Linked DNA regions of Drosophila melanogaster. The protein of the gene in region 1 interacts with the protein of each later gene in a pairwise test. Each region holds a gene or a part of one and is shown in the gene's direction. Other genes may lie near its edges. The genes, in order: drongo, prg, stai and fau.

Evidence for each region.
Region 2: the proteins of drongo (region 1) and prg interact in a two-hybrid assay, tested with the Drosophila melanogaster proteins (one large-scale study listed by BioGRID).
Region 3: the proteins of drongo (region 1) and stai interact in a two-hybrid assay, tested with the Drosophila melanogaster proteins (one large-scale study listed by BioGRID).
Region 4: the proteins of drongo (region 1) and fau interact in a two-hybrid assay, tested with the Drosophila melanogaster proteins (one large-scale study listed by BioGRID).

Annotation. Positions count from the first base shown.
Region 1 is NT_033779.5:846,909-853,931, reverse strand, and holds the start of drongo (drongo), read left to right. Parts: upstream 1-2,860; 5' UTR 2,861-3,863; coding exon 3,864-4,033; intron 4,034-7,023. Other genes in the region: kraken, read right to left, coding at 1-387, 654-740, 927-996; CG4291 (uncharacterized protein), read left to right, coding at 1,303-1,304, 1,361-1,433, 1,490-2,214, 2,273-2,489.
Region 2 is NT_033779.5:8,460,747-8,467,194, forward strand, and holds prg (piragua), read left to right. Parts: upstream 1-3,741; 5' UTR 3,742-3,863; coding exon 3,864-4,028; intron 4,029-4,086; coding exon 4,087-5,598; 3' UTR 5,599-5,948; downstream 5,949-6,448. UniProt on the Drosophila melanogaster protein: May be involved in transcriptional regulation. The function of this protein is unclear.
Region 3 is NT_033779.5:6,118,220-6,126,519, forward strand, and holds stai (stathmin), read left to right. Parts: upstream 1-2,454; 5' UTR 2,455-2,591; coding exon 2,592-2,991; intron 2,992-3,554; coding exon 3,555-3,724; intron 3,725-3,785; coding exon 3,786-3,971; intron 3,972-4,044; coding exon 4,045-4,191; intron 4,192-4,478; coding exon 4,479-4,634; intron 4,635-4,758; coding exon 4,759-4,845; 3' UTR 4,846-6,434; downstream 6,435-8,300. Other genes in the region: CG31642 (uncharacterized protein), read left to right, coding at 539-2,212; Arpc4 (Actin-related protein 2/3 complex, subunit 4), read left to right, coding at 7,030-7,536; WDR79 (WD repeat domain 79), read right to left, coding at 7,713-8,300.
Region 4 is NT_033777.3:10,771,204-10,780,056, reverse strand, and holds fau (fau), read left to right. Parts: upstream 1-2,682; 5' UTR 2,683-2,805; coding exon 2,806-2,880; intron 2,881-4,991; coding exon of another isoform or gene 4,992-5,408; exon of another isoform or gene 5,409-6,038; coding exon 6,039-6,359; 3' UTR 6,360-6,860; downstream 6,861-8,853. Other genes in the region: Desi (desiccate), read right to left, coding at 1-8, 84-219, 271-365; CG45078 (uncharacterized protein), read left to right, coding at 2,806-2,880, 4,992-5,408; CG45076 (uncharacterized protein), read left to right, coding at 2,806-2,880, 6,896-6,922, 7,453-7,944, 8,085-8,197, 8,590-8,720. UniProt on the Drosophila melanogaster protein: Plays an important role in the regulation of tissue responsiveness to oxygen deprivation.

The DNA of each region.
Region 1 (7,023 bases):
GCGCCCTGCCAGTGCCCTCCGCCATCCGTTGGGTGCCGCGCACCGTGGGACCCGCGATATCGATGTTGATCAGCTTCTCCACCTCCGTGGGAAAGCTGGCCGCGTACATGAAGGTCAGAGCTCCGCCCAGCGAGTGGCCCAGCAGAGTGACGTTCTTCCAGTTATACTTGCGGACTATCCGGCGAATCAGGCATATGCCGTCCCAGAAGATGAAGTACTGCATGCCCATCGGATAGTGCGACGACTTGCCGTGCCCGGGCAGATCGATGGCCAGGATGGAGGTGTCCGCCGGTAGCAGGGGGCACAGCCTGTCGAAGCTGCCGCAGTTGTCCTGCCAGCCGTGCAGGGCGATGATGGGCTGCCTCTCCTTCGAGCCCCACCACTTGGCTGCAAGCGGGAAAATCGATTAGTACATATGTATGTAACTTGGTTTCAGCACGTGTATGTTAATCGTTCAGGGGAATCGCGTGATGTTTCCAAAAAATATTACTCAAAAAACAAGCAAAGAGATAGCGTTATTGGGCTCAGTTAGTAGAACACTTGTAGTGCGTCGAAACTAACAAAATATTTTAGCCGCGTCACATCGAAAATCACGTCGGATTGCCATGAATGGTCGATGCTGTTGATTAGGAAACGGCTGGCAGGTGACTCACCCTCAACGGTTCCCCAGGGCACCGCGATAGAGAACTCCTCCCAGCTGTCCTCGCCCAGCAGCTGCAGGGGCTCCTCCGTCTGGCCATCTGAAAGCAGGGGGAATCCACATAAGTAATTCAACTAAAACCAAAGCAAGCTGTGACGAAATGGTCTGCGTCTGGTGAAATCGCCCGCGGGCCAGGTGAAGCGCAACCAGCGGAAACTTCGGACTCAGGTGCGCAGAGCGTGCGAGTCGGTGACCTGACCACGACCTCCTCCTCCGGTTTACTCACTTGTCTCTGGCGAAAGTTCCGCCGCGGGAGATTGCGCCGCTGTTGTTGCTGCCACGCGTGTCTGGCCCATGGCTAATTGCTGCTCGCAAATGGTGCTCCGTAATGCTGGACGCGGATCGGGCGAGCTCCTGCCTCGGGGAATCTCAAAAAGCGACTAACTAAAGTCGCAAAGTTTTGCCGATCAACGGAATTCGATTGTCAATAGCTATTGACAGATATGTCGGTTTGGCGGTGGAATGGCTAGAAAGTCAGATACGGAGCTATTGTGCAGCTCCATTCGCGACTGGGTGGCAACTCCCGCACATTGTTTTCATTTGCGATTGCAAACAAAATTTAATATTACTTGTATTCGAAACAATTAAGCTGAGAAATCATCATGTAAGTCTGCGTTATTATCCTCCGGCTTTGCCATAGCTAACTCTCGATTCCAACAGGACGGAGTACTGGAAATCAAACGAGCGCAAGTTCTGCGACTTCTGCAAATGCTGGCTGAGCGACAACAAGGCGGTGAGTCCATAGAATAAACTCGCTTTTCGGCACTCTAATGACCCCTAATCCCGCAGAGCGTCGCCTTCCACGAGAGTGGCAAGCGGCACAAGATGAATGTGGCCAAGCGGATCACGGACATCAGTCGCAACAGCGAGAAATCGGAGCGGGAGCGCCAGAAAATGGACGCGGAGATCCGCAAGATGGAGGAGGCGGCCATGAAGTCGTACGCACAGGATGTCCATTCGCGCGGTGACATGACCGCCAGGTCCATTAACACGGTAATGAGGGCCACCGCCACTGCTGCCGCCTCAGGCGGAGCTCACTCCTTCGCCGGAAGATCACGCCAAGTGGACCCCATGCGCCTGGAAGGATTGTCCGACGAAGAAGAAGACCAGAGGCGGGTGGCTCCCGGCAAGGTAACAAGCGACGCAGCCGTGCCCGAGGCATCCCTCTGGGTGGAGGGCAAGTCGGACGAGGGACACACCTACTATTGGAACGTGAAGACCAATGAATCCGTGTGGAAGCCGCCGAAAGAGGGCTATCTGTCCTACGAGGAGTACGAGCGCATCAACCAGCTGGCCATCGACCAGCAGCAGATCTCCCAGGCCGAGGAATCGCTGAAATTCCGCGCCAATGTCGACGAGGAAGTGGCGAGGGTGAACCGAGAGAAGATGAAAGCCTTCCGCAGGACGGACAATCCCAAGGAAAAGAAGCAGAAGGAGGAGAGGCGTCAGACATTCAAAACGGAGGAAGAGGCGGCCACCAAAGAGATTGGACAGTGGCAAACTGTGGAAGTGAAGTAGGGCCTTCCTACTAGGTTCAAATGCATTTACTGATAAATTTATGGATTTTTGTAGAGCACCTGAGCAGCCCATCGACTGGCAGCTACCCAAAACGGATTACTACAGTGCTGCGCCCGTGGTTTCCGCCTCGAGTGAACCAGAACCTCCAGTCAAGAAGTTCAAGGAAAAGACGATTGGCGGTCTGGATGAGGAGATAGCCGCCACTGCGCCCGCCACGTTCAAGCGGAAATTCATCAGGAAGGGAAACAGCCGCCAGCGCGCCGAGGATTAAGAAGTACTCCATGTGCTTATGTGCATATTTCACCTACTAGTTAGGTTTAGGCATAGGAAATGTTTAGGTTTTTAAGTGTTTGCTTATACCAATTAAAAAGTGAGATGCGTTTAACTAATATTAGATTAAACATAGCTATTGTAGAATTATTATTATCTTTAGTCGACTTGCATTCAATAAATATTTCCCAACATTTTAAATAGTAATATGTTTTTTAAAAAGTTTTAAATTTCGATAACAGTTATCGAATTAGGTTCAATCGGTGTGTGTCTGTGCTTTAGTTGCGGCATATTTAGGTCTTAGAGCTCCGTCCAATTTTAGTGCATTTCCAGCGGCAACACGAGGTATGTTTCTCCCGTCCGCCAACGGTCACTCTGCTGCTGTTGTTGTAGGCGAGCGGTCGGAATTTGCGTCGGAATTGTGTTGAGTCGAGTCGCGCTATTTTGTTTCGAGTGCGCTGTGCTGTTTGGTTTCGTTCCGTTTCGTTTCGCTGTTCGTTTTCCACTCGTCTTCGAATCCGCACTGCAAACAAACAAGGAGAAGGGGAAGCAGCAAAAGTGGCGAGTGCATTCGCAGCGTCGAAATTTCAATTGAAATCTGAAATCTGTGTGGCAATTGCAGCGGCACTCGGTGTAAATAGATTGAATTGAAGCGAAATTCTGCGAGTCGAAGAAGTGAAAAGTAAACAATAACACGGGCAATCGGAAAAGTGGTTTTCGATAAATCGCACCGCACACACACACCTGTCAGTGTGAGTGTCAAAGTGAGTGTGTGAGTGTGCGTCGAAGGAGAGGAAAGGTCAAGCCAAAAATTGCGTAAAGAAAAGGAAAGGAAAGCTTAGAAGAGGGGAAGGGGAATTACGTCAGTTTCGCATTCCCGATAAAAATTTTTGATTCCCTAAACGATCCTGATAGCCAGCCATTACGATAGGCAAAAAACGATAACAGCGGAAATTTACGTCAATTTGGAGCAGAAAGTAAACGATACCAATTCCCGAAAGAATTCAAAAAATCAGGCAAGATTCAGTTCGTGTACGCTTACAACAGCTCCGCGCCCCACGCCGCCTCCTCCTACCGCACCGCCGTCGCCCCCTTTGCGCCCTACGCGGCCGAGCGGTCCACCCACCACCACCCACTCCCGCCCCCCGAGGAGCGGCTGCCCTCGGACACCGAGCAGCTAGCTGGATCCGACGAGGATCGGGCTCAGAGCCACGAAGCGGAAGCGGAGGAATCCGAGGAGGAGCGCGCAGGTAGCGGACCCTCCGTCAGGCCGCTCATCGCAGCAGCAGGAGCAACAACAACGACAACGTCGACGTCAGTAGTACCGGAAGCGGTACAAAGGGCGGCGGCCAAGGGAGCGACAGAGACGGCGACAATGGCGGTGGTGCGCAAGAAACAGGACGACAAGTACCTGCTCGCCCTGCGGGAACTAGTGGCCAGCGGGACGGGGAGCAATCGGCAGTGCTTCGACTGCGGCCAAAAAGGACCAACCTACGTGAACATGACCATCGGATCCTTTGTCTGCACCCGCTGCTCCGGAGTCCTGTAAGTATTTGCCTTCTTGTTGTTGTTTTCTAGTCTGGGATAATGTAGGGTAGATCCAGGAATTAGGCATAAGTCGCCTGCTAGGTGACCTTTGTTATGAGAATGTAACTGTAACTTGGCTATTCATATTTTAGTTATTTCTTTGGTTGTCTCTTTGAGTTTACCAGGTATTCAAGATACCTCTGGAAAATATTTCAAACAATTTCCGATGCACAGATTGATCTAGCTTGAGATTTGTAGAATAAGGATGGTGGGTTATGAACTGACAAATCTCTTAAAATCTTCCACAAGAAGAATCCAGATATACGACATTTATGGTTATGGCTTTCTTGAATGGCTTTTGGTTGAATTCACACATGTTTTTTATCAAAAAGCTGGCTACCTATATACATATTCTGATAACTGCCAAATGGGCTACCCCCACTGCGTTTAGGAGTCATATAAAATATTGCCTTGAGTGTTTCCAAAAATAGAAATGCAAATTGAGAGCTATCAACGTCGATCCGTGGACCTTTCTTGGTCTCCCGTGTTATCTTGACTTGAACCCAGCCAATTTGAACTCGCCTGACGTCCATTTGGGATCTGTGCCCGAGTGGAGTGACCGATAATTTGCGATCGATCGATGCAATGTCCGATCCCGCCCCCCATTATTATTTCGTATTGTGTGTGAAAGCGAAAGCAATTCCCCAACAATTTCGAACAATTTCGCACAATTTGGCTTCCTTTCCTTTTTGAATGCAAATGCAAATCGAAGACAAAACTTTCAATTGCGCGACATCGCGGCGAACGAAATTGTTTTGTCTTCGCCGGCGTCGCTTTCTATTCGTGTTTTTCCGTGGGGAGACGTTTTCGAGAGCCGCCCACCTGGCGGTTGAGTTGTGGGTGTCCTTGGCGCCCCTCAGTTTATTTTTTATTTTTGCCCCTCTAAGTAATTTGGCAAATTGGCTTTGATTTGTGAGCACTATGGCCAAATTGGGGTCATATATGTATTACCACTCCGCCGACACTGCATTTCATTTGATTTACGCATTTCCGGATCAAGCACATTACATGATTGCTCTTAAACTTCCGCTTGGCCCAGGTCCAGAAGCCCAGTCTCCCACGATTCGTGTGCCCCAGATTGTGGCCTCTCAATTGGACAGCATGCGGGTTTCTCCGCTGAGTTATCTCTATCATCGGAACCAGGTTGAAAAGTAGCCAACTGCAATGCGTTCGCCCTGCTGCACTCTGCAGTCCCCAACTCTTGTTTCGATGACTCATTGCCCATTCCTCAGTCTTCGGTGTGCGGTGCTCAATCCTCAATCCTTAGTCCTCAAACCTTGTTGCCAACTGCCAAGGGAAACAAATGTTGGCATGTAAATGAAAAGCCACATAAATGCCGGGGACACCAAGCGATTGCACTGCGAGAAAGGGTTAATGGTTAATTGTAACAAACAATTGGTCCTGTTAGTCGGATACTTCTGCGGTTTTTCAGTTACTAGTCTAACGACGTGCCACGTTTCTGCCGGTGTAGCCAAAAAGGGGTGTGGAAAGGTACTGCAGCAAATGGGGGACTCGGCCGAGGAAGGGGGCGTGGCAGGGGCGACAGCAGGCGACAACGAACTTCCTGGCTGAAAATGAGACTGGAACGTCGACTGCGACAAGGGAGCGAGTGCAGGGAATACCAAATGAAACCAACTCCTCCGACTCACGAAGAAATGGCTGTGCATGTTCGGCCCGCCTTTGGATATTGGAATCCGCTGCAGACCGGCCGGTCACTTGGAGCGCTTAATGGAGGAAGCGGTTCAGGAATGAGAATGGAACTGGCAATGGTAGTGGGTTTCAGAATGGGAATGTCCGCGGTGGCGCGGGGAGGAAAACCCGTCCGACGGCTTTTGCCAGCCACACTCGGTTGTATTTTTGGGCCGAAGTTGCTGCTGCTGTTGCGCCTCCAATTGCAGACAAATTGTTGCACCTCAATCAAGCAGCAGTCGCCGCCATCTGCTGCCACACCGCATTTCGGTTGCTTTGTTTTTTTTTTGTTTTTGTTTTATTTTACTCTTTGGCTTTTGCAGGGTTCAAAGCTTGTGCTGGCTCATAAAAGTCAAGAAACTTGTTGATTAGATAAGGCGAAAGCAAACGGCCATTGGGAGCAGAGCTGAGCAGAGCAGAGCGGAGCAGCAATGGTGAGCCACTTTCTCAGGCTTCGTCATCATTCCCACCGCACACAACACACTAACTACACACAGCAATGGTCATTTGAATACGAAGTTGCCGGCTTAATAGTGCATTATTCAATTATTAAATAACTTGGGGATGTGAATCAGTGCGAGTTCAGGCGAAAAATGGAAATACCCATTGCTAGATGTGAAAATGTTTAGCTATACATTGGAGGTGCTTATATTTCTGCTTTAAATTTCAGATAGATTTACTTCTTCTAGTAAGCATCTTTCATAATGCTTACTTTATTTAATACAATTTTACCATCAAATGCCGTAATTTGTTTTCCTTGTGTCAACTGTGATTTTTTCTAAACTGATTACATATACAAGTGTTTTTATACGCTTAATCTTTCAAAACAAGTTTATTATGTGCGATTTCCTGGACTTCGTTTTGGAGTGTTTGAGTCATTTTTATTATGTTTTTAAACTTTTATTTAAAATATTTTATCAATCTTCCCGGCTGAGCTATTTCTGTGGTCACGATTGTATGTTTGCAGTCATTCGTTGGTTGTTTGTGCGATTCTATCTGTCTGGGAGTCGATGACTGTAGTCATGCTATAGCACACATAAAATACATATATATGGCATATATGGCATATTAGTTGATATATAATATGAAATTATTAGATAAACTGATCTGATGCTTCTAAAAGTACCAAACTTCCTATCTCTGATATCAATTTGTTACCAAACCAAGAGGGGGTATCAAAAACCTTTCATATTTGAATTTTCAAAACCATTAAGTCGTATTGTAGGTACATTTGTACATACGGGCAAGTGAACTGTGGA
Region 2 (6,448 bases), 7.6 Mb from region 1:
TAATGATAGTATTAATAATATATTTCATACGGAAATGTGCTGTGCAACAAAGAATGCAAGCAATAACCTTTGCAGGTCCGTTGCCAGTACTATAAATATCAATAGTAAATAAACAATAAAATAATATAACAAATAAAAATATACAGTCCACTATATCGTTGTTTAATAGAAAATGTACTTCTACATAGAAAAAGCAAAATGTTTAAAATAAGTTAATTGAGTACAAATTGATGAATTAAAAATAATATAAACCATAATTGTAATCCAATAAAATTAAAAGCCAGAAAAACTAGGCCCATTGAAATCTTAGTTGCAAAATAAATGAACATATATCAAATAAATACAGTCCACTACTGTTATAAATGCAACTAATATACTAATGTACATCTCAGCTTGCTGGCCCTTTGGCAGAATGTTCACACATGAACACGAATATATTTAAAGACTTACAATTTTGGGCTCCGTTCATATCTTATGTAAATGAATCGAGAGCGATAAATTATATTTAGGATTTTGTTATCTAAGGCGACATGGGTGCATTGCTCAAAAAACATGTAATTTAAGTGCACACTACATGAGTCAGTCACTTGAGATCGTTCCCCGCCTCCTAAAATAGTCCCTTAGTGGGAGACCACAGATAAGGTCCTCGCCGCTCAAGATAGGCAGATGTGCCCGAGCGTGGGACCTCGATAAGGCGGGGACTATTTACTTAGGCCTCTGCGTAGGCCATTTACTTTAAGATGCGATTCTCATGTCACCTATTTAAACCGAAGATATTTCCAAATAAAATCAGTTTCTTACAAAAACTCAACGAGTAAAGTCTTCTTATTTGGGATTTTACAAGCGCTGAGATCTAATGGTTATGCCATTTTCCTTGGATTTTCATTGATTTTTTGTGTAACGCTTGTGAATGTCACATGTTCCTCCGAAAGCATATTATAATTTCCAACTTTGTACTTAATTTGCACGGCAATATTAGATTTTCGATATTGCGGCTCAGTAATTGGTCATAAATGGCTTATGTTATTAGTTCTGCAGAAAACAAGAGCTTTGCGATAATATTTCCACGTATTTATCGTAGTTTATACCCCTGCGCTTACTGGGTTCTTGGTACACAACGAAAAATAAACAATGATATGGGAAACTACATTTATTGTAAGAGAAATATTCAGCTCCATTTGTGGAATTGATTTTACTGTGATTATTCTAGAGGGTTGAATGACAAGAAAATTACCGACATGGTTTTACAGCCTACAAGTTACTGGATTGCAAATGAAGAAATTTTAGAAAAACACTTTGTACTCATACGGGTTAAGTTTTAAATTTACATTTCTGACAGTGTGCTAAAATCAATTTATCTACTGCACATGTTTGACTTTTTGTTTACAATGTCCACCGTCATCGCCTGCTTTTAATATTGCGAAGGGGGTAAATGGTTTGACACCCATTATCAGTATCAGTTCGACGCACGACAATCTCAGCGAAGCGTTCGGTGTGCGACAGCGGAACATCGATTCATTCAGGCAGCATAAGCTTTAGGCTACTGATAAGATTGTGGCATGATTTCACGCTGGGAAACTATGGGCATGGTTTTGTTACACAGTTGCTACGCATGTGACGCGGCCGCGGAAATTAACTTAAGTCCGGACATGAGGTCTGGACCTCCCCCACAGCCACCAATTGCCGTTCAGGTCAATTTAACGTCAGCGTTTCAAGTCAAGTTCAAAGTCAACGGGGAGAGTGATTCTAAGCTGTAGAACTAGACCTAGCTTGAGTCACGGCACCGATTCATTTGATCTGCTGATTGGACTTTCCTCATCGAATGATCATTGCCGAGCACTTAATTGCCGAGTGGAATGTTTAGGACAGCAATCTTCAGTTGTTTTTCATTGTACACAAAATTGGAAGTCACTCTCATGTGGCCGGCAAATGGCATGTTCCCTATGTTTAGGGGTAATTGTATGCAAGTGTAAATATTAAGTTAGCAGAAGTCTCGTAGGGTAAGGATATTTACTAATTCGGTGTGGTGATATCATATAGATTTGCTTCTAGGGACTTTAATCAGACCATTAAGCTCGAATGCAATCTTTGCGCTTATTTCACTTAAGCAATTATATTTTATCTTTATGTTCAAACTTTTTAGGGCAGATAGTGCATACGCTAGAGTGCTTTCGTTCTACTCACTACTAACTCACTACAAATCACTACCTAAATAGGCTAATAGACGCATTTTAAAGACCCCAATTTCGGTAAATTCATGAAATTATAAATTCTCTTTTTTATAGTCCTATTTATGAATTATAAATGCACAAATTCATTTTCATACGCGCAACGGCAACTGTGAAAAGTGAGGAATCCCAATAACCAAAAATTAACAGGGACTTGGTGGCAGAAAATTTAACACTCATGAGAACTACAGGGTGCGAGGGCAAAGCTTGGGTTAACAGGATGATAGGTACACAGAAAAAAAAAACTATTCCATTGAAATTTGCGATCATCATTCATACGGTGTTTATGTTTTTGGAGTAGTTGATTCAAAATTGTAAAAAAAAAACCCTGTGTTTCCTTTAGCAATGTGGTCCAATCAGTTCATCATTTTATGCATATAATCTAAATAATAAAATTGAACCTGATTACACATCAAAATCAAATTTCTCTCCGTGCATCGGGGGAGAGAACAATAAATGTACACGGGGTTGCTGTTGCTTTTATTCCTTAAGGACGGGAATAACACACTAACCGCATGGGAGAGAAAAGAAGTGGAAGAGGGGAGGTGGGTAGGGAAAAGGAGCGAAAGAAGGAGAAGCGGCAGGAGCATAATAAAGACAAAAAGTACGTGGGTGGAAAACAACAAATACAGCCCAAATTGTATAAACTCACGGAACAGTTATTTCCCTCTATGGGTGGAAAATTGTTGCTGCTAATTCCCTTGCTGCTGTTGTTGTTGTTGTTGTTGCCGCTGCTGCGTAGGCGTAACAGTTGTTTTGCCGATGTGTGTGTGTGTGTTCTAGTATAATTTGCAGCATCTGCAGTGCAATAAATTCCACTAAACGAACATTAGCCACTTTCAATAGAACCAAAAATCTCACTGCAATTAAGCAATAACCGCGCAAGCAATCAATCCCGATTAGTTAAAGGAATATACGCGCGTACGCACAGATTTTTAAACAATCATCCGCTTTCGCCGAAAGAGTGCCGGCACTCGAAAAATACCTCCGCTTTAATCAAGAGTCCGCGGGCAATTGAAAAAGCTCTCGCTTCGCGTGTTCACGGCGTGTACCTACATAGGTACGCATCAATTAGGTACCTGCCGCCCACTGCTTTAATCGTAAGTGCATTTCTGATTTAAAAGTGTGACACGAGCCTTATAAGTCTTATAATTTATATTTTATGCAAACAGCTTTACAAATTTTTAATGTGTAGAAAGAAACTGCGTTTTATTGAATTTGAGCATCATCAAACTTCAACCCCAAAGAATTACACATAAGTAGTTTCGTTTTTGCTACCAAAGATGCTGACGTTTATTTTGCGTATTAGATATGGCTTTGTTACAATTTTAGTAAAAGTATTTTAAAATGGAAAGGTACAAATCTGAACTTTAATAAAACACAAAATTGTTTAATTTAAAAACTTCAAATATTCAAAAATTCCTATAATTCAATTAAGTAACCCACTGTGCAGCGGCTTATCGATTTCCTCCGACAATCGATTGGACCATGTTGTTTAATTTCGCGACATATCGATACTATCGTGGTAGATTGGCCATTGACCAACGCGTTTTATTTGCTACCGGTGTGGCTTTTGTTTGCTTAAACAATTGGATAATTTATTGCAATCCCGGCTTAAATGCATATGATTGAAGAATGCATACATCGGATATCAGCATGACCCAGGATCAGGATGTGAGCACTTGTCGCCTGTGCCACCATAATACGGATCCCAACTCGCTAAACATTTTCGATGACACCGTGCAGTTTTGCAAGGATGTGTCCATTGCAGAGGTTTCCAAGAGTCTCTGGAGCGTTCAGGTGAGTGGGCCATTTATAATCCATGGAAAAAGTGCATGAATAACTTCTCCACCTACAGTACGATCGCAACGAATGTTTGTCGGAGCTCATTTGCTCAAGGTGTCTGGAGATCCTCGAAGAGGCATTCGAGCTGCGAAAAGGAATGCAGGAGCGGGAACAGTCCCTGCAGGAGCAGCTGAAGGAGATGATTAAAGATCATCCGAAGCACCGTCCAGGCCTGAATGGCAACCCCGGAGTATTCGTACCCGAGGAGGGCTGCATTATTGTGGAAGTTGATCCAGAGAATCTGGCAGAGAGCAGTGAAGAGGAATTCGCACTCGGCTCCGATGGGGAGTACGAAAACTATGACGACGATGATGAGGAGGAGGAGGAAGACTACGATGAGGAGGACGAGGAAGATGGCCAGAACGGCGAAGACGTCGACATGCCACTGGGCATGGATGCGGCCCAGATGGCGGCTCAACAGTCCGTTGCCAACAACGCCAACACCACGGAGGCACGGCCAAAACGAGCGTTCCTCTGTCAATACTGTGATCTTGGGTTCACTCTGCCCGCCGAGTGTCAAGAGCACGAGCTGGCTGCACACGATCCCAACGCACCGTACTGCTGCAACTTTTGCAACATCAAGCTGGTTACCCGGCCTGCTTTGATTTCGCACATAAAGACACTGCATGATCCGGACCGTCCGTATGTGTGTGCTCACTGTCGGAAGGGTTTTGTGCGCCGCTCCGATCTTAAAAAGCACACAATCGTGCACACTGGCGTGAGGCCCTTCACATGCAACGTTTGCTCCAAGAGTTTCTCGCGGAATACAAATCTGACCAAGCACATGCGCATTCATAGCGGTGTCAAGCCCTTTGTTTGCCAGCAGTGTCCGCGATCCTTCCAGACGGCTGTGGAAATGATGCGCCACACACGTTCGCACGGAGAGGTAAAGGCTTTCCAATGTGGACGCTGTCCCTACTCGTTTTCGCGCAGGGATAAGCTAATAGCCCACCAGCAAGTCCATACCAGGCGGGACATGGAGCAGCAGCAGCAAATGGGTCTAATTCCCCCGATGGAGGGTGATCTGCAGCAGCAGGCGTTGCAGGCTAAACAAAAGGCTGCCGCACAAACCAAAAACTCACGCTATTACCACTGTGATGTCTGCGATCGAACTTTCCAACGGGAGAGGGACCTGCAACGCCATCAAGCTCTTCACATGGACTCGCTGTTCGCCTGCAAGACATGTAATCAAGGTTTCAACCGACGCGAGCAACTGCAGCGCCATGAGCTAGAGGCTCATGGTCCCAGCTTTACGTGCGGAATCTGTTGCATTAGCTTCCTGCATCAAATTGAGCTGGAGAATCACCTCAAAGTCCATCAGTTGCAGCACAAGATGGCCCAGCGGGCTCAAGAGGCTGCTATTTTACCCCTAAAAATGGCCGAAAAGGCTCCAGTGGCTATGACGGCTCCGCTAGTTCAGGATCCCCAGCTAGTGCGTCCCTCGGCAGCGGAACTGTCGTTCTACAGCAACATGATTCCCACAATGAATCTGGGCTTCTACAGCGAGACTCGTCCCGAGGAATAGAACAACATATTTACATGTTTAATAAGCTTAGTTGATAGGTCGGAAAAGTTTTGTAGGTCAAGGCTGTTTTAGTCGTTCAGGTCAACATAGAATCCATTGGTGTTAATGAATCTGTATAGTTTAAGTCATCTGACTATTGTCTGCCAAAATGTAGCTTAGTGGTTTTTAATAAAAGGCCAAATCTGAAACGGTTTTCTTCGAGATCGTATGACTTTGTGAAGATATTATTTTTCATAAGATATTAAAGAAAGTTTTCTGCTCTATAAAAAACTTCTTAAAGTTAAGTTATGTTAAACCTATTTAAAGTAGGTTTACTTAATATATAAATAAAATATCAAGTAAGGTATTTGAACATTTTGTATTAGCAGTCGTCTCAGACCAACATGTTGCGTGCAACAAGTTGCACGTTGTCCGATACGAAGAAGGTCTTCTCCGAAATCTTCAGAGCAACTGCACCGCTGCAGATTCTTTCTTGAGTTCGCCCCGTACGGTAGTGCCTCTCGACCAGCGCTCTCGGATCTTGATCGCCTCGAAATCTCGTAATCGCCTCGAAGTGCGCGTAGTGAATTGTGCTGGTGCTGACAGTGTAACGTAACGTTTGATAGAATAATAAATAATAAGTATTGGAGTGGGAGATCCGCAAAGAAATGTGGCCAAGCTACCATAAATAAAGTGCGGATTTCAAACGAGACGATAAATCTATTCCCGAAACGGGCACGCAATCGAGGGAATACGAATCCACCTTACGGTTCGCTTGGTTTTGGTTAGGTTCAGGTTCCGCTGAGAGCGGTAAGTACGCAATTACCTTCGCCATTGCCAAGGGTCACTTCGCAGGCGATTTATGTGTATG
Region 3 (8,300 bases), 5.3 Mb from region 1:
ATTGTATATGAAGTATATGCTATCTATTATGGCGGGTTATGCGTTGATATCATAAGATTACAAATTATGCAAAAACATGTTGTTTCTATAGCTACTTAATTGTACATTGTAATTGTAAGTAATTTATAAGGCCACAGAAATATACTCCGTCATAGAAACTTCTCGTCGTGCACGTGCTCCTATTTTTTCGGGATTTTCACAATTGTTGATAGAATCGAGTTGGCAGCGCCTTTTGGAGTTTAGCTTTCAGTCTCACTTTTTTGTTCGATATTCAATAGAAGTTTAGTCAAATAATTTTTCTTGTCGAGTAAAGGTGTTCATCAGTTGAAAGTGAAAAGTTGTGAAAAGAGTAAGTTGTTGAAACGAATAAAAAACACTGGCGAGGCCGCTCACATTTCAATTTTAAATAGGGTTCTCTAATATCATAAACAAAATTCAGCAAACTTTTGAGTCTTCACCAACGACGATTCTCTGCGCACAATTCGTATATAATATCATCCGTGCACGAATTCCATTGCCAGAATCACTTCAAGCACCCATGGCCCACCAGATGCGCAATCCGCCGGAGCGCCACTTTGGCCACCGCTGCGAGAACTGCAAGATATCCGATTTCCAGGGCCGCCGCTACACCTGCAGGTTCTGCGCGGAATACACTTTGTGCGGCAAGTGCTTCGATGCCAACCATCTGCCGGCATCGCCTCAGCATCGCTACTACCATCCGATGAGTGTGTACTATGCCTATGCCGAGTACCAGCTGTACTTCGGCGGCGAGCCATTCTGCGGTGATCACAAAGTGGCCCAGAGCTACAAATGTGCCCTGTGCGATGTTCGCGGCCTTTCTACCGCCCATTTGTTCATGCACCTGCTGCAGGAGCATCGCGACCACCGTGACCACGATGCCTACTTGTCGTTGGTCAATACTCTCTATATAGCGGACAACGGAATGGAGCAACAGGTGCCAGTACCGCAACCTTCTAGCCAAACGCGCTCGACTCGTTCTCGCAATTTAGCAAGCGTTCGACCGGTAGCCGGTGGCAACACGCGAAGCGAACAGCGGACCGAGCAGGTATTTGATTCCGCATTAAGCCTGGCCCTAATGGTTGTGCAGCTGGACAATATGGATTCAACTGCCGCCGACTTTCCTGAACGCTGCTATGAGATACTGCAGCAGACTGAAACTGTGCTTATGCAGCACAGAAGTTCCAGAGTGCCGGACATGGAGGCGATTGAGTCTTTTGTGCGCGTCATCGAAGATCAGGTTGTGACTAGCATGGCCGATCGTCGTCAGCGTCTGGGCGCCTCATCATCCTCACTACATCGGCTGACCCGCATTGAGGCAATCTCTCCTGGTACTAATACAGCGTTAGCTATGGGTATGCGTGCTGCCATGCCCGTTTTGGTTGACCAGCCGACAACAATGGTGCGCAGGCAGACGGCTAGGCGTACTGGAGAGCCTATCGGGATAGCCCTTCAATCGGCGGTGGCTTCGTCTTCTAGGAGCGGAAAAGCGGGGTCCAGCTCTGGGGTAGCCAAGGCACAAACGAAGACGCAAGGAGATCAGCCCACCAAGAAGGTGTCAACTGTCATTACTTCCCCACTCAAGGATAAGCGCTTTTTGTGCTCGAAATTGGTGAGCGGAAATGGCCAAAAGTGGGAAAGCAAATTGCTCAAAGCTACCTTTACCGAGGCAATGTTCTGTTCGATGTTGGCAGACGAAGAGCTGTTCCAGCCGCCAATTGGACTGCCCTGGACTGCGAATTTCATGTTGGACGCAGTCGAGCCATCAGGCAGTGTAAAATCAAATGGGAAACTATTGCTGTATCCTGTTAAGACCAAGGAATTGATGGAACGCTTCTACAGGGGTCTCGCCGAGTACAAAACTTGGATTGGTTATCAGACCGAACCAACTGCCGAAAGCAAGGCAACTGAACTCCCATCCGCTTCCACCAGCTCGGCTTATTTCACAGTTTTGGGCGATATCCCATATGCGGATTCCGGATCGGATGATTTGGAAAGTAATGCATCAGAAGAAATGGCCAGCGATTTGCATGGCGAAGGAAACAGCGATGATTTAGCCGGATTGGAGGAGGACAAGGAAAGCGGCGAGGAAGAAAACGGTGATGAGGACGATGGAGCTTCGGATTCCGATTTCTCTGAGTCAGCCATTTCTCAAATCACCGACTTCATAGATATGGTCATCCAGGACGAATAGGCGGGGCACCCAGCATTTGTAGGAAATAAGCCTCGGTATTTTCATAATTACATATGCATATGTAGTATTTTGAAATAAACATTTCTAAAAGAAAATGACCAAACGATCTGGATGTTTCCTCAGGTTTTTCCATTTCATAGGAAGCTTTTCTCGGATATTTCTCTGGCTAGTGGAAGATGATTTACAAAATCTTATTTGCACATCTAGTAGGCAGCGCTTTTCCATTTTATTCCGGTCTACAGTTGTCTCTATTTGTTATTGCAAAACATTTCTCCGACATCTGAGAACAAAATATAAATAAAGCATTAAACATTTTTCGATAAACCCAGTAACGACGCCAAATTGAACTTCGATCAGTCATTTGATCATATCATTTAAAATGGGTTGCAATTTCTCTGCTTTACCGACCAAATGTAAGGGTTGCGGGCAAATTCGCGCTGACTTTGACCGACGGTACGGTTGCAGTGAGTGCGGATCTGAGGTAATGTACTGCGGCCAGTGTTTTGATGAGGGCCGAAATCAGCACACTGAGACGCACAAGGACGACCGCCGCATTAAGATTATCTACCATCGGTCCTTTCTTGACAAATTCTTCAGCGGCGAGAAGCTGCTAAACGGCGATGCTTCAAAAAGCTACAATTGCGTTTTTTGTAAGAAGAGATTTAGCGCCGAGGAGTTGCAGTTGCACTTGTCCGAGATGCACTCGAATCCCGCGGATGCGTCAGCGTTGACGGTCATGCTGGAAAGGATGAGGCAGGAAGATTTGGAGAACAGAATTGGTGAGATATGGCAACATTTTGGGTAAACAATCTATGCACACTCATTGTGATTGCCTAAAAGCTTTTGTCACCATTGACACTCCATAATAATAGCAAATTATGTGTCAAAATATGGTTATGGATACATATAAAAGGTGTCCACTGTCGGCTGTCGTGGCAACATCTTCAAGTATCGTTATCCCTCTTGTTCAATGATTGTATACATATACATATTTTTGTTTTGACAAATCATTTTTCGCTTCGTTGGTTGTCCAGCATTCCATTTGATGGATTTGTCTACAAGTTAGATAATGAGAATGTCAAGATATCGATTTTAGGTGATTATATTTCGATGTAACACTAAATTCGTATTGTTTAACTTATTGGCCAAAAGAACAACATTTAAGTTTAGTTTTTAAGGGGGTGGAAGTGTAAAAATGACGTCATGTTGTTTTGATGGGGGGAAAGCCAAGTCGAGGGTTGAACCACGAGGTTCACCCTTAACCGCAACTATTCGATGCACCCCAAGTGCAAAAATATTGAATTACTATAAGTCTCCCTTTGCTTTCCTTCCTCCTCCACAGCCACAGAGATTCGCTGCCAGGAGAAGTCCCGCGGGGGATTGAGCTATGAGGTCATCCTGGCCGAACCGGCACCCAATGTGGCCGTTCCAAAACGACCGGTCACCCCTGGCAAGAACGTTAGCGTCGAGGAGATTGAGCAGAAACTTAAGGCGGCCGAGGAACGTCGCATTGTAAGTACATAAATTAAAGAATTAAAGTTGTTGTAAAGCAAGTGAAATCTTGTTTCCCCAGTCTCTAGAAGCCAAGAAGATGGCTGACATCTCCACTAAGCTGGCTAAAGTCGAGGAGGCGACTCGCAAAAAGGATGAGATCACCAATGAGTTTATTACTCAGACCAAGGAGCAGCTGGAGTCGAAAATGGAGCTGCATGTGGAGAAGCGAGAGGCCATCATCAGTGACATGAAGGAGAAGCTAAAGGTAGGCTACCAAACCTATTGCATCCCATAGTATATTCCCAACTAACCAAGTATTTTCTTCCGTTTAACGAAAGATCCATGCCCAGGATATCGAAAAGACGCGTGAGACTCTTGAGCAGCAGAAGGCCAACGAGCAGAAGGCAATCGAGGAAAAGTTGAAGATTGCTCAGTCTCTTCGCGATGAGAATATCAAGAAAATGTTGGATCGCCTAAAGGAGCATGTGAGTCTATAGCATGGCCAAAAGTTTTCATTAAATCTAGTTTATGATTAGATGTATGTAATTATAATATTCAATACCCAAGATCCCATAAGTCTCAACAATTACTTTATAAACATTACATTAACTTACATTCATTGCTGGAATATAAAATTGAAATGACACATCATTTTGACTGGACTAGCAAACTGGTTAACATTTAGTTAGTCATTGAGTGTACGAACTATAAATAAGTTATCATGCGTTCATATAATTTTGGTTTTTCATTTCTCTTATATCCTCTCATTTAGAACACAATCAAAATTGCCGAAATCAAATCGCAGAACGATCAATTGGAATGTCAAAAGATCGAGGAGAAAGCGCGCATTTATGAGAACAAATTGTTCGCCGCCGAGCAGAAACGCGAAAAGGAATTGCAAAAAAAAATTGAAAAAGTTCAAAAACTCGTACGTGTTGTTCCCCCCCACTGAAAGCGACAATTTGCCCTATTGTTTGAGTAGCACTTGGCAGTAGTTGCACATCTCCATTCGCAAACGAATATTAATCCTTGATTGCTTTCCTTTCTTTCAGGAACGTCGCGCTGAGCTCGTGCGCCAGAACAAGGCCCAGGCCCAGGATTTGGATGGTCAGCAGAGCGCCATTGCCTCCTCAGGCTAAGTGGAGAACGATCCTGCATCGAGAGCTGTGCTCACCCACTGCAAACATGGTTACAAGGCGACTACAAAAAGAACAGCAACACTGCATAATACACCAACACATATTTAAGCAAGAAAACCCTTAAAACTGAAAACGATTTCTCAAAATTTCCAAGTATTATGAAAGCAAACGAAGCGAAGGGCAAGGGCAAAGTCTCAAGATACCGCTGAGCGAGTTTTCTCACGAGCTCTATAATGAAACACGAATAAGCTACTATAAAGCGAAAAGAAATGAATGCTTACGGCAAGTTAATGCAAAAAAAAAATTAGTAAAGGAAATCTACATTTAAACTTAAAAGCCCAGGCAGAAAAGCCTATGCAAGTTGAATGCATGCCTGTCATTTAAAATTTCAAATTCTTTTAAAAGTTCACGTTGATTTCAGTTGAAAGTTTAAAACACTTTTTACCTTGAGTTCCAAGAATGTTATATTCGTTTTGGATTCATTATTTTCAAAGTCTTAGTCTTGAATGTTCAAGTTTTTTTTTTTTTTTAATTACTGTGGCATCGACTGAGGTATTCTCAAAATAATAAGCACGCTGTATTTGCATCTATGAATGGCTTTCGCGAGTAAAAATTTGAAAATGTTTTTAATTAAGTTAATGTATACTTTAGTGGTAATTTTAATTTACTAACTTGCAACAACATGATACATATACATGCTGAATATAGTTTTACACTAACAAATAATTTGTTCTTATAAGTTTCGCATTTTCTATCTATAAAATAAATGTCTAACAGAAAAAATACATAAGAAATGCTTATACAATTCAATAAAATCAAATACCATGTAAAACACACGAAACGCATTTTTCCTTTATTTACATACAACACAAACACTAAAAACGCTGATATAGACATTAATATAAATGGAAGGAAACTACGTATAAGCATACATTAATGTGTGTAATATTATATGGAAATGCATATTTTGTCTAACGTCGGGTTATTTTTAGAAATGGGTTTAAGAGGAGAGTGAATGTGGGGGTTATAATAAAAAAAAAAAAAAGTATTTAGGGCAAACCAAATGGAATATTTAGGAAAATTTTTTCCAAAAACCTGCGAGTTATTTTTAATTTTGCACCAAAGGGCGCTTTAAAGATTAGCTTAAATTTAAATCTTATATCGTTATATATGTATGTGTACTCGTGTAAACCTATGGCTTCTACAAATGAATATCAATAACATAAATCTCTTAATAAAAATGTGCATTGGCAAAACAATTTAACACGCACAGGACACCAAATTACCCAGACACGAAAACTTTCAAGCATACTCAAGAAAAAACGAACAAAATATAAACGCAAAGCATAAAATGCTTTGATATTTACTCAATTTATGATATATTAATGTCTAATCCAATGCAATAATCAGCCGAAACATTTTTTGAGTATTGAGAGTAGGAAAGGGTTACAATTTTGAACGATTGATTAAAATACTCACTTTCTAGGTTCACGCATAATTTAAGTTCATATAAGCCACAAATAACTGACCATATGCGAGCAAAAATACTTATAACAATTGTATAATAAAAGTGCATTAAACAAATAAATGCAATATTTATAATTGGTGGATGCTGTTTTCTTCTAAATTAACATTTTTCCTCTTTGCTGGTGTGTTGGGTTTTCGGACTTTAATATGGTACACATATATTTGATATTTCCATTTCAAATTTTAACGCTTCTAGCCATATACATTTTTCTTAAATTTTTAAAATTTAGGTATGATTTAAATTGTTTCACTCCTAAAAATTCCACAAAGATAAGATACAAATGGAAATGGAACAGTGGTTGTGGTCTCGGGTAAGTTCTTGATAGTCAAGTTTCTTACCATCTTAACACAGGACATCATAAGAAATGTTTTAAGTGCGATTTGATAAATGTTTAAAAACAACATGTTTAATATTGATTGTATAAACTTTATGCATAGTCTTCCCAAACATATAATAGAAACTGTTTCATAACAAATTCCAAATAGTTGCTATGTTTTTGCGGCCCCACCTCGGCATTGGTATTTTCCTGCCAGCCGCGCATGGTCACATCTTTTCTGGTTGATAAATTCCAGGGCCTGTGAATCATAATAAGTTAAGTAAAAAGTGCAGATACAACAAACCGCAGGCAGCAGACAACAACCCGACACCCAGACACAATGGCAGCCACATTGAAGCCCTACCTGACCGCCGTGCGACACTCGCTGACGGCGGCGATGTGCCTGCAGGACTTCCCCTCGCAGGTGGTGGAGCGGCACAACAAGCCGGAGGTGGAGATCTGTTCCAGCAAGGAGCTGGTGCTCACGCCCGTCGTCGTGTCGCGCAACGAGCGGGAGAAGGTGCTGATCGAGCCGTCCATTAACTCGGTGCGCGTGAGCATCGCCGTGAAGCAGGCCGACGAGATTGAGCGCATACTGTGCCACAAGTTCACCAGGTTCATGATGCGACGCGCCGAGTCGTTCGTCATACTGCGCCGCAAGCCCATCGAGGGCTACGACATAAGCTTCCTCATCACCAACTTCCACACGGAGCAGATGTATAAGCACAAACTGGTGGACTTTGTCATTAGCTTCATGGAGGAGATCGACAAGGAGATCAGCGAAATGAAACTGGCGGTCAATGCCAGGGCACGCACCTGCGCCGAGGAGTTCCTCAAACGGTTCTAGGTAAGTGTTCCACCTAACAGCCATCGCCATTGAGTCGACGCCAACTTACTCTCGCAAATCCTTTGCAGGTGAAGGCAACCAGTATGGACCCGGTCATGATGCTTTAGTATTTCCAAATGGATTCAAGAATAAAGACGGATTTTGTATTATTTACTCGACTACACCAGTTTTATATGCTATCCCGTTTGGCCGCACCACCACATGACCACTGCGTTCTCGTAGAGAACTTCCTTCTGATTTTGATTCACATCGGCCGGCGCCGGCAACTCCGTCGTTTCCGTTCCGTTTAAGGTCACGTTGTCCCCTTGGGCACTTTGGTCTGTAAAGTGGAACTGCCCCGAGCTGGTGGCTAGAATCGGCATAGCCGGATTGAGTGCCACTCCGTTGCAGCAGTCTGAATGCAGGGGCAGTACGGAAGGATCTCCGTATTTTTTGAGATCCCAAACATTGACGAATCCCCGTGTGTCACCGCTAGCCAGCCAATTGCTGTCGGATGCGAGGTCGAATTGAATACGCTGATTGGTGTCCACATGGCGCTGCAACTCCACCAGTGGCTGCTTGTAGTTGCGCATGTCCCACTGCAAGATCTTATCGCACTTGCGAGCTCCACTGAACAGATGCCACTCCCCGTTGCCAAACTCTCCATAGCGCAGTTGTGTGATGCCGCCCTTGTGCCCTCCCAGCGTGAAGAGAGGACCCTGCTTGTGGCTACACCGCAAGTCAAAGTGCTGGATGTAGCCATGCCAGTTGCCGCAGGTTAGAGT
Region 4 (8,853 bases), on another chromosome or scaffold:
GGATAACCCTAGACAATTTAAGTTCACAGATCAATGTTAGTAGTTTAGCCCACGGTTTGGAGGTTCTGATGTAGTTTACGCACATTTAGGGATCCGTAGCCAGTGGTATAGCCCAGTCGTTCCAGTCTATCCTTCGTGGAAGCTGTCTGCGGTTCACTAGGCTGGGTCTTGTTTTCATTAAAGTACGACCTATCCCGCTGCGCCTTATCCGCATAGAACCTGAAGCCATTCCAAATGAGTATCGTATATGGGGTACTAGAATTGACTTACTTATGGCTATCTTCGTATTTGGGGATTGCACTGGCGTAGGTCAGCACAACCAACACTCCCAGCAGCTGCAGTATGACAATGTAATTTCGGTTCATTGTGCTCTTTTAAGAGGGTATCCTTTTGGGTTTCTTTTTTTTTTTTTGTAAATTAGTAATAGTCCTTTGGGGTTTTTGGCTCGTGGCTCCAACGTGTCGTTCGCTCTGCTCCAAACTAATATTTCCAGCAGCAGCAACTCCACTATTTATAGGAGTTGCCTAAAAATGCAAGCAATTTGTTCAAATTACAAAATGTCAAGCAGCGTGCGGATTTGAATGCCGTTTATGCGAGTATTTGGGAAAAAGTGAGGAAAGAAACGCATTCTAGCAAAACGAATGAACAGGTGTTTGTAACCATATAGGCACTTATGTCCCCATACAAGCACAGTAAACAACCCCCCCCCAATGAAAGACCATTCATCGTACTTATGTCGCTGTAATGCGCAATTTTCATTGCATACTCAATTATTTAACAAAATTATCGCAGACACAAAAAAAAAAGTGGCGAAGACGCCAACAAACAACCACGCTGGCTGGGCGGATAAATTGAGCAGCCATGCATCTGAAACCAAAAGTCGTATATCTATGTACTCCAATGGATCAAAATCGCGACTTGGGAACGGAGACACATGGAAGTGTTTGCACCTGCGCCACTTGCATCATTATGAGGGGCATCCGACCAAGAGATTTCTGGTATTAAGTCACTGACATCTTGCCGCTCGTTTTATATCGTATATATATTCAAACGGGCCTAAATATATGGGCTCTTACATTGATATTTATAAGCTAAACGTATATTGCTGAATAAATTTTTGTAAGTTATCGTAATATTAAACATTAAATAAGCATATCAAGAAATATTAATACTAAATTCGTTTGAATAAGGTCTTTTACATTCATATTTTTTAGATGCATAGTTTCAAAAATAATCTCTTAAAGATCTTACAGATCTAAAGATTCAACATCGTCAGGGTCGCCAGACAATGACCTCCATATATCACCTCATATTAAAATAATGAATGAATTATGTCAGACACGAATACTTTTATGGACAATTAGTAAACCTTTTCAAGTTGCAGACCTAAAGTAATACCTCTTTATAGATTTATGAAAATCAACATGTTGCAGAAATGTTGTGCCACCTTTTTCATTTAATCAAAGAAGATTTGTTCGCTATATTGAATCCTTTTCGCCAATTTATTTTCTGCTAATTTTTCAATGTCTATTAACACCTAATTAATACAAAGCAAACACTAAATTCCAAGTCAGTGCTCAATGACATTTTTGTTCGCCGATTAGGCTGACTTCGGCAGCCTTGAAATTACGAATCATTCATTGCCTCTCGTTAAGGTTAATGTCATAAAGAATTTGGTTTTTTTGAATTTCTGCCATGGTTTTGTTTATATACAAGCAAACACCTACACACCCGATTTAAAATGTGGGTATAGGATGATGTGCAGTTTATTTATATGTTCACGAATACATGTTTCCGATCTTATTGTAAGATGGTATGAGTAATCTGGCCTCAAACTGTTGGAAAACAACATTTATTTTTATCTTATTTTCATTTTTGTATTTTCTTAATAATTTATATCCAGCTATTTGTGTGGAAAGCTCTGTGTCCGGTCCACAGGTGATACCCACTGACCATAAATTGCTCTCAGGATTTTAATTTCACGCCTTATTTGTTTCAAAAAATGCCAAGCTCATTCATATCAGTTTTGGCTAATCAATCTTTAAACAACGGTGATGCTTTGAATGCTGATATTTTGAATGATGGGAATACGAATTAAGCTATAAACATTATTAATGTCTACATGTAATCATACTGCTAAATGCCAATTAAATGTAAAAATATTGAAATTACCATAATCAATAATTGCTCATTATATTGAGAAATTCTTGTGGCAGATTTATAAATAAATAATCCGCCGAATGTTTTGATGTTTATCGACCCATATTTAGCCTATGCCAAATATTAGCCTTTCCTCCATCTTCAGATGCCATCATCATCAATTCGAGTCATATCCCATGCTAAATACAGATTCTAATCTTATCTATAAAGTTCTGGAAGAAATCCGTGACGTCTGTTTTCGCAGATAAGGGCTCTATATCCTGGGAGCACTAGACTCGGTACATTTCATGTGTATATAGGCTTTTCCGAACGCAACTGTATGAAAAGTGCTGGCTTTATGTAAACAGAATTCGCTCGCTCTTTTGCGAGGAGAGATGTCAATGTTTCTTAATTCCAAAAATAAGTTCATTTGGGAGATGGATAGAGAAAGAGGTATGGACCGAACGTGCGAGAGAGAGCGGGATCGAAGGCTGTGAAAATTTTGAAAATCAAAAAATTATAAGCAAGTGCTCCGTGCGATTCTCAGGCAGATCAACTCGAACGGGCGTCAAGTGAACAACACGCAACGACGATATATCCGAACCAAAATCCAACGAACAATTCTATTTGAAAACTCTCAAAGCATCCAAATCTAAAAATCTCAACATGGTTTACGAAAGTGGATTTACGACCCGCAGAACCTACTCCTCGAGGCCGGTGACAACTTCCTACGCAGTTACGGTAAGCCCTTCGAAATAGAATCTGAACTTTACTTGACATACGGTAGTGTGGTTTTCCTCGATTTAAATCTGTGAAATATATCTGTGCGTACAGTTGCCAAACTCGAAACTTAAGCAGTTCAAGAATAAACTAACCTGTGATTGCAAAAAACGCTGAGGATAAATTTGACAAATTTGAAAGCAGTTAACTATTTGCTGTTAGCACTTAGCTAATGGCTAATCGAATCTGTAGTCACAAGAATTCAGTTTTAAGCGCTTGTGTCCCACTTGCTGTACTCAATGGTATCATTCTGAGAAGCGAGCAGATTACTTGAGAAATTGAAACACGTTTGAATGTAAAGTGTCTACCAATTATGAATATCGTATCGAACTTACAGTACCTAACTAGCTGGTCTTTCGCAACGGAATGTCCTTGTGCTCAGAGATATTATATTTAATGATCACCTAGACGTTCTGCCCATGTTGTACATATATAGCATTTTCAGGTTCAGTGTAAACATTTGTGTAGTAATTCATACATAAGCCTATTTCTAACAATTTAATAACTCTCACACAATGGTTGTGGTGTACTCGTACTACACTGAATACTACATATGTATATCTGAGTTATGTGCCTGCACAGTCGTCTAACCATAATTAAACCAGACCGAAATAATAAATATGTGACAAAATATTCTGACAAAACGATGCGAGTGTGAAAAGATTGCAATTTTCGCGCGATCGTGGGAATTGAATCTTCAGCAAATTTATTGCTGTGCAATGATCTTCATATCTCTTTCGGATATACGTGTTTACTCACCTCCCAAATATAACACGCTAAATACATTTTGGGAACTAAGAATTTAGCGGAGGCCGAACATTTTCTTCTCTATCTCTATATTTTATTATTATTTACAAAATGCTGAGGTCCGTCTGGTCTGGTGGTCTAATGGTCTGGTGCCCAAAAATGTTTAGAATATATACATATGTATGGGCGAGTGGAATTCCAAACACATGCGAATTCGCGATGAAACTCATACGGAGCCACAGCTCTCTCGATAATTTGTTTTTGTACGGGCCGTGGATTTGCTTTTTGTATGTGTAATACTATATGCGCGCGCATTTCGCTCTTTGCTGGTCCTAAAAATATCTTTCCGATTTCCATAATATATTCAAATAAACCGATGCCATGGCAAGCAACTACAACAAAATAACGCAAAATATTCGAAAATTAGAGGGAACAACATAAGAAAATGCCCATTTTTTCGACTGTCCAATGTGATGATAATCCAAAGCAAGGATATATATGTAGGTACATCGAATCCCCAAGAGATCCATCTTGTCTGGACACTTTCTGTGTGCCATGCATATACATTTTGAAAAGCACTCGCTGTTTATAATTTATAGTGATAACTTGATGATTCGATGAATGAAAACGGCAATCTACTTTGATGTGTATCTATGAAATACGTTTTATTGAGATTTAATTTTTGGTATTTAGGGTTAGAATGTAGGGTAACTGGCTTAATTGATAAATAAACTTGGCTAAATTGCTGTAAATATATATACGTTTGCTGTTTGTGTTCCATCTTAATGCTCCCATTGCACATTACTCACAACCACACTACGTCGTATCAATATGCATATATACATATGTGTATTTAGACTAGGGTGGACCGTTTGGAAAAACAAAATCTAAATTTTCATTACTGCACTTCAATAGAAACCTGTTAAGTAGGCTAGCTTTCTGCAGCCCAACTGTGCAAGCAACGTTGCGTATACGTAATATCTGTTTAAGGCTTGTGCAAACCAAAAGAGATGCAGGTCCACCCTAGGGTTCAGACACATGTGTAGCTATGCATCTTGTGTCATAATGTAAGGATGTTCGATGTTATTGGATACAGCTTGACCCACCCAGCACTGCGATCTGATACCAAACTCAACTACTGCCCCAACGAAGCTGTATATAAATGCCCCGCCCGCGTACTGTATATACTCGTACATATGACTTTGACCCACCGCACCGCCCAGTTGAGATCCCCGTTCGCTGCACCACCTAACCACTGAGCCACAGCTTAATCCCCGGCTGACCCAGAAATTAAAAACAAAATTGTGGACTTTTGGGCATTACAGAGAACGAAGAGAACACCAATTGACTGGGAGAAAGTTCCGTTCGTGCCGCGGCCGTCGCTCATCTCGGATCCGGTGACCGCCTTCGGAGTGCGGCGTCCCGATCTCGAGCGGCGCCAGCGGTCGATCCTCGATCCGATCAATCGGGCCTCCATCAAGCCCGACTACAAGCTGGCCTACGAGCCCATTGAGCCGTATGTCTCCACCCGGGACAAGAACCGGACGCGGATCCTGGGCATGGTGCGCCAGCACATCGACACCGTGGAGGCGGGTGGCAATACCGCCGGCCGCACCTTCCGCGACAGTCTGGACGCCCAGCTGCCGCGACTCCATCGCGCCGTCTCCGAGTCCTTGCCAGTTCGCCGGGAGACCTACCGCAACGAGAGGTCGGGCGCGATGGTCACCAAGTACTCCTACTAGGGGAGCATCATCCTATTCACCCAACCGATAACCCGAACCCAATCGAAGCCTAGTCGAACGAACCTAGTCGTATCTAAGGACACATAACCAACTAAAACAGACAAAAAAAAAACTGAAAATGCATTCAAAATAATGATAGGCCTACATATAGTCTAGCCATAGTCCATATAATCTTGTGTTAACCCACTAAACACTGAACAAGTTTTTACTCTACACAGAGAAAAAGTAGAACTTTTAGACATTCTATCCAGAATACGTTGTAATCGAAATATTTCCATTTTAGCAGTACGCTCTATAGAAATTGTTCAATGAGATTCCAACTACAAACGGTCAGTGCTTTTTTCTCTGTGTACCCATGTATCTAACGTTTCATTCATAGACTCATAGCATTTGTGTGCATAGATGGTTGCATTAAGCTCTTAACTCTAAAGTAAAACAGTTCGAACATGTTTCAATTTCCCCAATTGAGTCGCCTTGCGTTCTTTGGCCATTTGCATACAGCAGTTCGTGGAGCAGCAGGAGCAAGTTTAATCCTTTTATGATGCTTGTGCTGCCAATGCCGAAATAGAAACCAAAACCAAAACCAAACCAAACCTTATCTCTATATCACTATCAAATCGGAATTTATAGACTCCACGCTTAGACCTGTGCACGGACAGACCGGGCTCGCACCGCAGCCGGGCCTCCTCGGACTACTCGTACACCTCGAAGTCGTCCGTGGAGAAGAGCAGCTACGACTCGAGCAACCCGCACTCGTACCGCCCGGAGCGCTCCACGTACACGTCGACTGTGGAGAAGACGTCGCGCAGCGGTCCCGGCGGCTCGTACAACTACAGCACAGAGCGGACCAGCACCACTGGCGCCGGACCCGGTGGCTACAGCTATTCTTCGACCACCAGCGGCAACCTGCCCGGCGGCACCAAGTACCGCCACTTCTCCTACCACGTGTAGGAGACGCACAGCGTCAAAGGATCGGCGTTGGCTGTCCACGGCTTTGAATGTTATGGTGCCCACTAATACGTCATTGTTCTGAATTTATATATATATATAAATATATACATTTTGCAAATAATCCACTTAACCCGCTAACCTTGAGTGCCCATATATATATATATATATTTGTATACGAAGTTTTCAATGATGATGTATTTTCGTTTTGACTTGGACTAATCACCACTAATGCCCAAATAGTTTCGCATATAGACTAGATTAACCGAACAAGATCAACAATTTCTGTGTGTATTTGCAACCTTCAAGAAGTCATGTTAAAACATATTTGTGATACAATAAAATAAACACGGTCTTATCTCAAATGAACGTAGCATTATATTTTCTTGAAATGAACATATATAGAGGTCGATACGATATTCATACTGAAGACACAAATTAGGATAAGGAAATCTAAACCGTTTCTGTCAAGAAATATATGAGAGTTGTCAACTCTTTTGAACCAAAACATGACTTGCTCTATTTTGTATTACTTTCAGTACCCCTCGGTCGAGAAAGTAACTCGTGTAAGTATTTGGTTTTCATCCTTATCGCCTACATCGCTTGTCATCATCCATCTTTCTATGGATTATTACTATTCTTTTCTATTGACTTATATCACACACTGTTCAATCACATCCATCACATCATCGTCACTGGAAAAACAGATTCGGTTAGTAATAAGCCCTCACATCATAGTCTTATTTAGATTAAAGCACTAGAGAATCCATTTAATCAAAATAGAAATTATTCTGGGTAAATCCCACGATCCCACGTTAAATAATCTGAAAGTAGTAAGCATTTTCAAGATGCATTCTTTACTTATTATCATTTCATATATCATCATTTTTGTGATGTAAAATCGACTACTTCCATAATCATAAGGCAGACAAAACTGCCTAAATGGAGAGATCACGAACATATGGTTTACGTTTCTGTTTCTAGTTCTTATATGTTCTTTTTTATTTTCTCTGCTTTCTCATTCCGCTAATCAAATCATAATCACCGAACCTTGCATATTCGATGTTGTCTTAATGTTGAAACCATTGCCATATAGGTGTACAAGTCGAGTTACCCCATCTACTCGAGCTACTCGGTGCCACGCCGCGTCTACGGCGCAACCCGGGTGGTGACCTCGCCCATCCGCGTGGTAACCTCGCCTGCCCGCGTGGTGTCCCGCGTCATACACTCACCATCGCCTGTTCGCGTTGTCCGCACGACGACCCGAGTGATTTCATCGCCGGAGCGCACCACCTACTCCTACACCACGCCATCGACCTACTACAGCCCCTCCTACTTGCCATCGACCTACACTTCGACCTACATCCCGACATCGTACACCACGTACACGCCGTCCTACGCCTACAGCCCGACCACGGTCACCCGGGTGTATGCCCCACGCAGTTCGCTGTCGCCGCTGAGGATCACCCCCTCGCCGGTGAGGGTCATCACCAGCCCGGTTCGCTCTGTGCCCTCCTATCTGAAGAGGCTGCCGCCTGGTTACGGTGCCCGCGCCCTGACCAATTACCTCAATACCGAACCCTTTACCGTAAGTTGGTCCAGCGTACTTAGCACGTTGCTTTCGTAGACACACAGAACCAGGAGTAGTGTTGTTCTGGGCCCTCGCTTCTAGACTTCTTTTCCTTCGATTTGGCCCCCACCCCCTTTAACATTGAATTGATATTACAGACCTTCTCCGAGGAAACAAGCCGGATTCGCAACCGCGCGCAATCTCTGATTCGTGACTTGCACACTCCCGTGGTGCGCCGTGCACGTAGCTGCACTCCCTTTCCCGTCACTGGGTAAGTAGGGGTAATTACCACCTAATGGGCATCTGAGCACATTCCATTCCAATGAGGACACTTTCGAAGCCAAAAATAGATACAATAACACCTACATGGTACCAATTATTTATGTTTATATATGTACATTGCAACAATTTGGCGCACATTCTTGAAACTAGAAGGCCCTTGGCATAGAAAATAATCGCATTCGTTTCACTCTTCATTTTTGTGCCGAGATTGTGCATACGACATGTGGGCCTGCATAATTTCGGTGCAATGATATGACGGATAAATATGATTTGCTAAAAATAAAAATTATGTTCCCTTAATTATGTTCTGTAGATATTGTTAGATAAAGCATATTTCTGCTATATATAATATATGCATATATATGTATATATGTTTTTTAGTTACACCTATGAGCCGGCCTCGCAACTGGCCCTAGATGCCTATGTGGCCCGTGTCACAAATCCTGTCCGTCATATTGCCAAGGAAGTTCACAATATTTCGCACTACCCCAGGCCAGCAGTGAAATATGTTGGTAAGTTTTGTTTCGAAACGTAAATGTTAGACTACTGCACTATGTATTCTGTTCACAAATGTGGTTAGATATCTTAAATGTATAGCAAATGGTTATTAAATTGCATTCTTTAAACAATTAAATAACAAAAGGT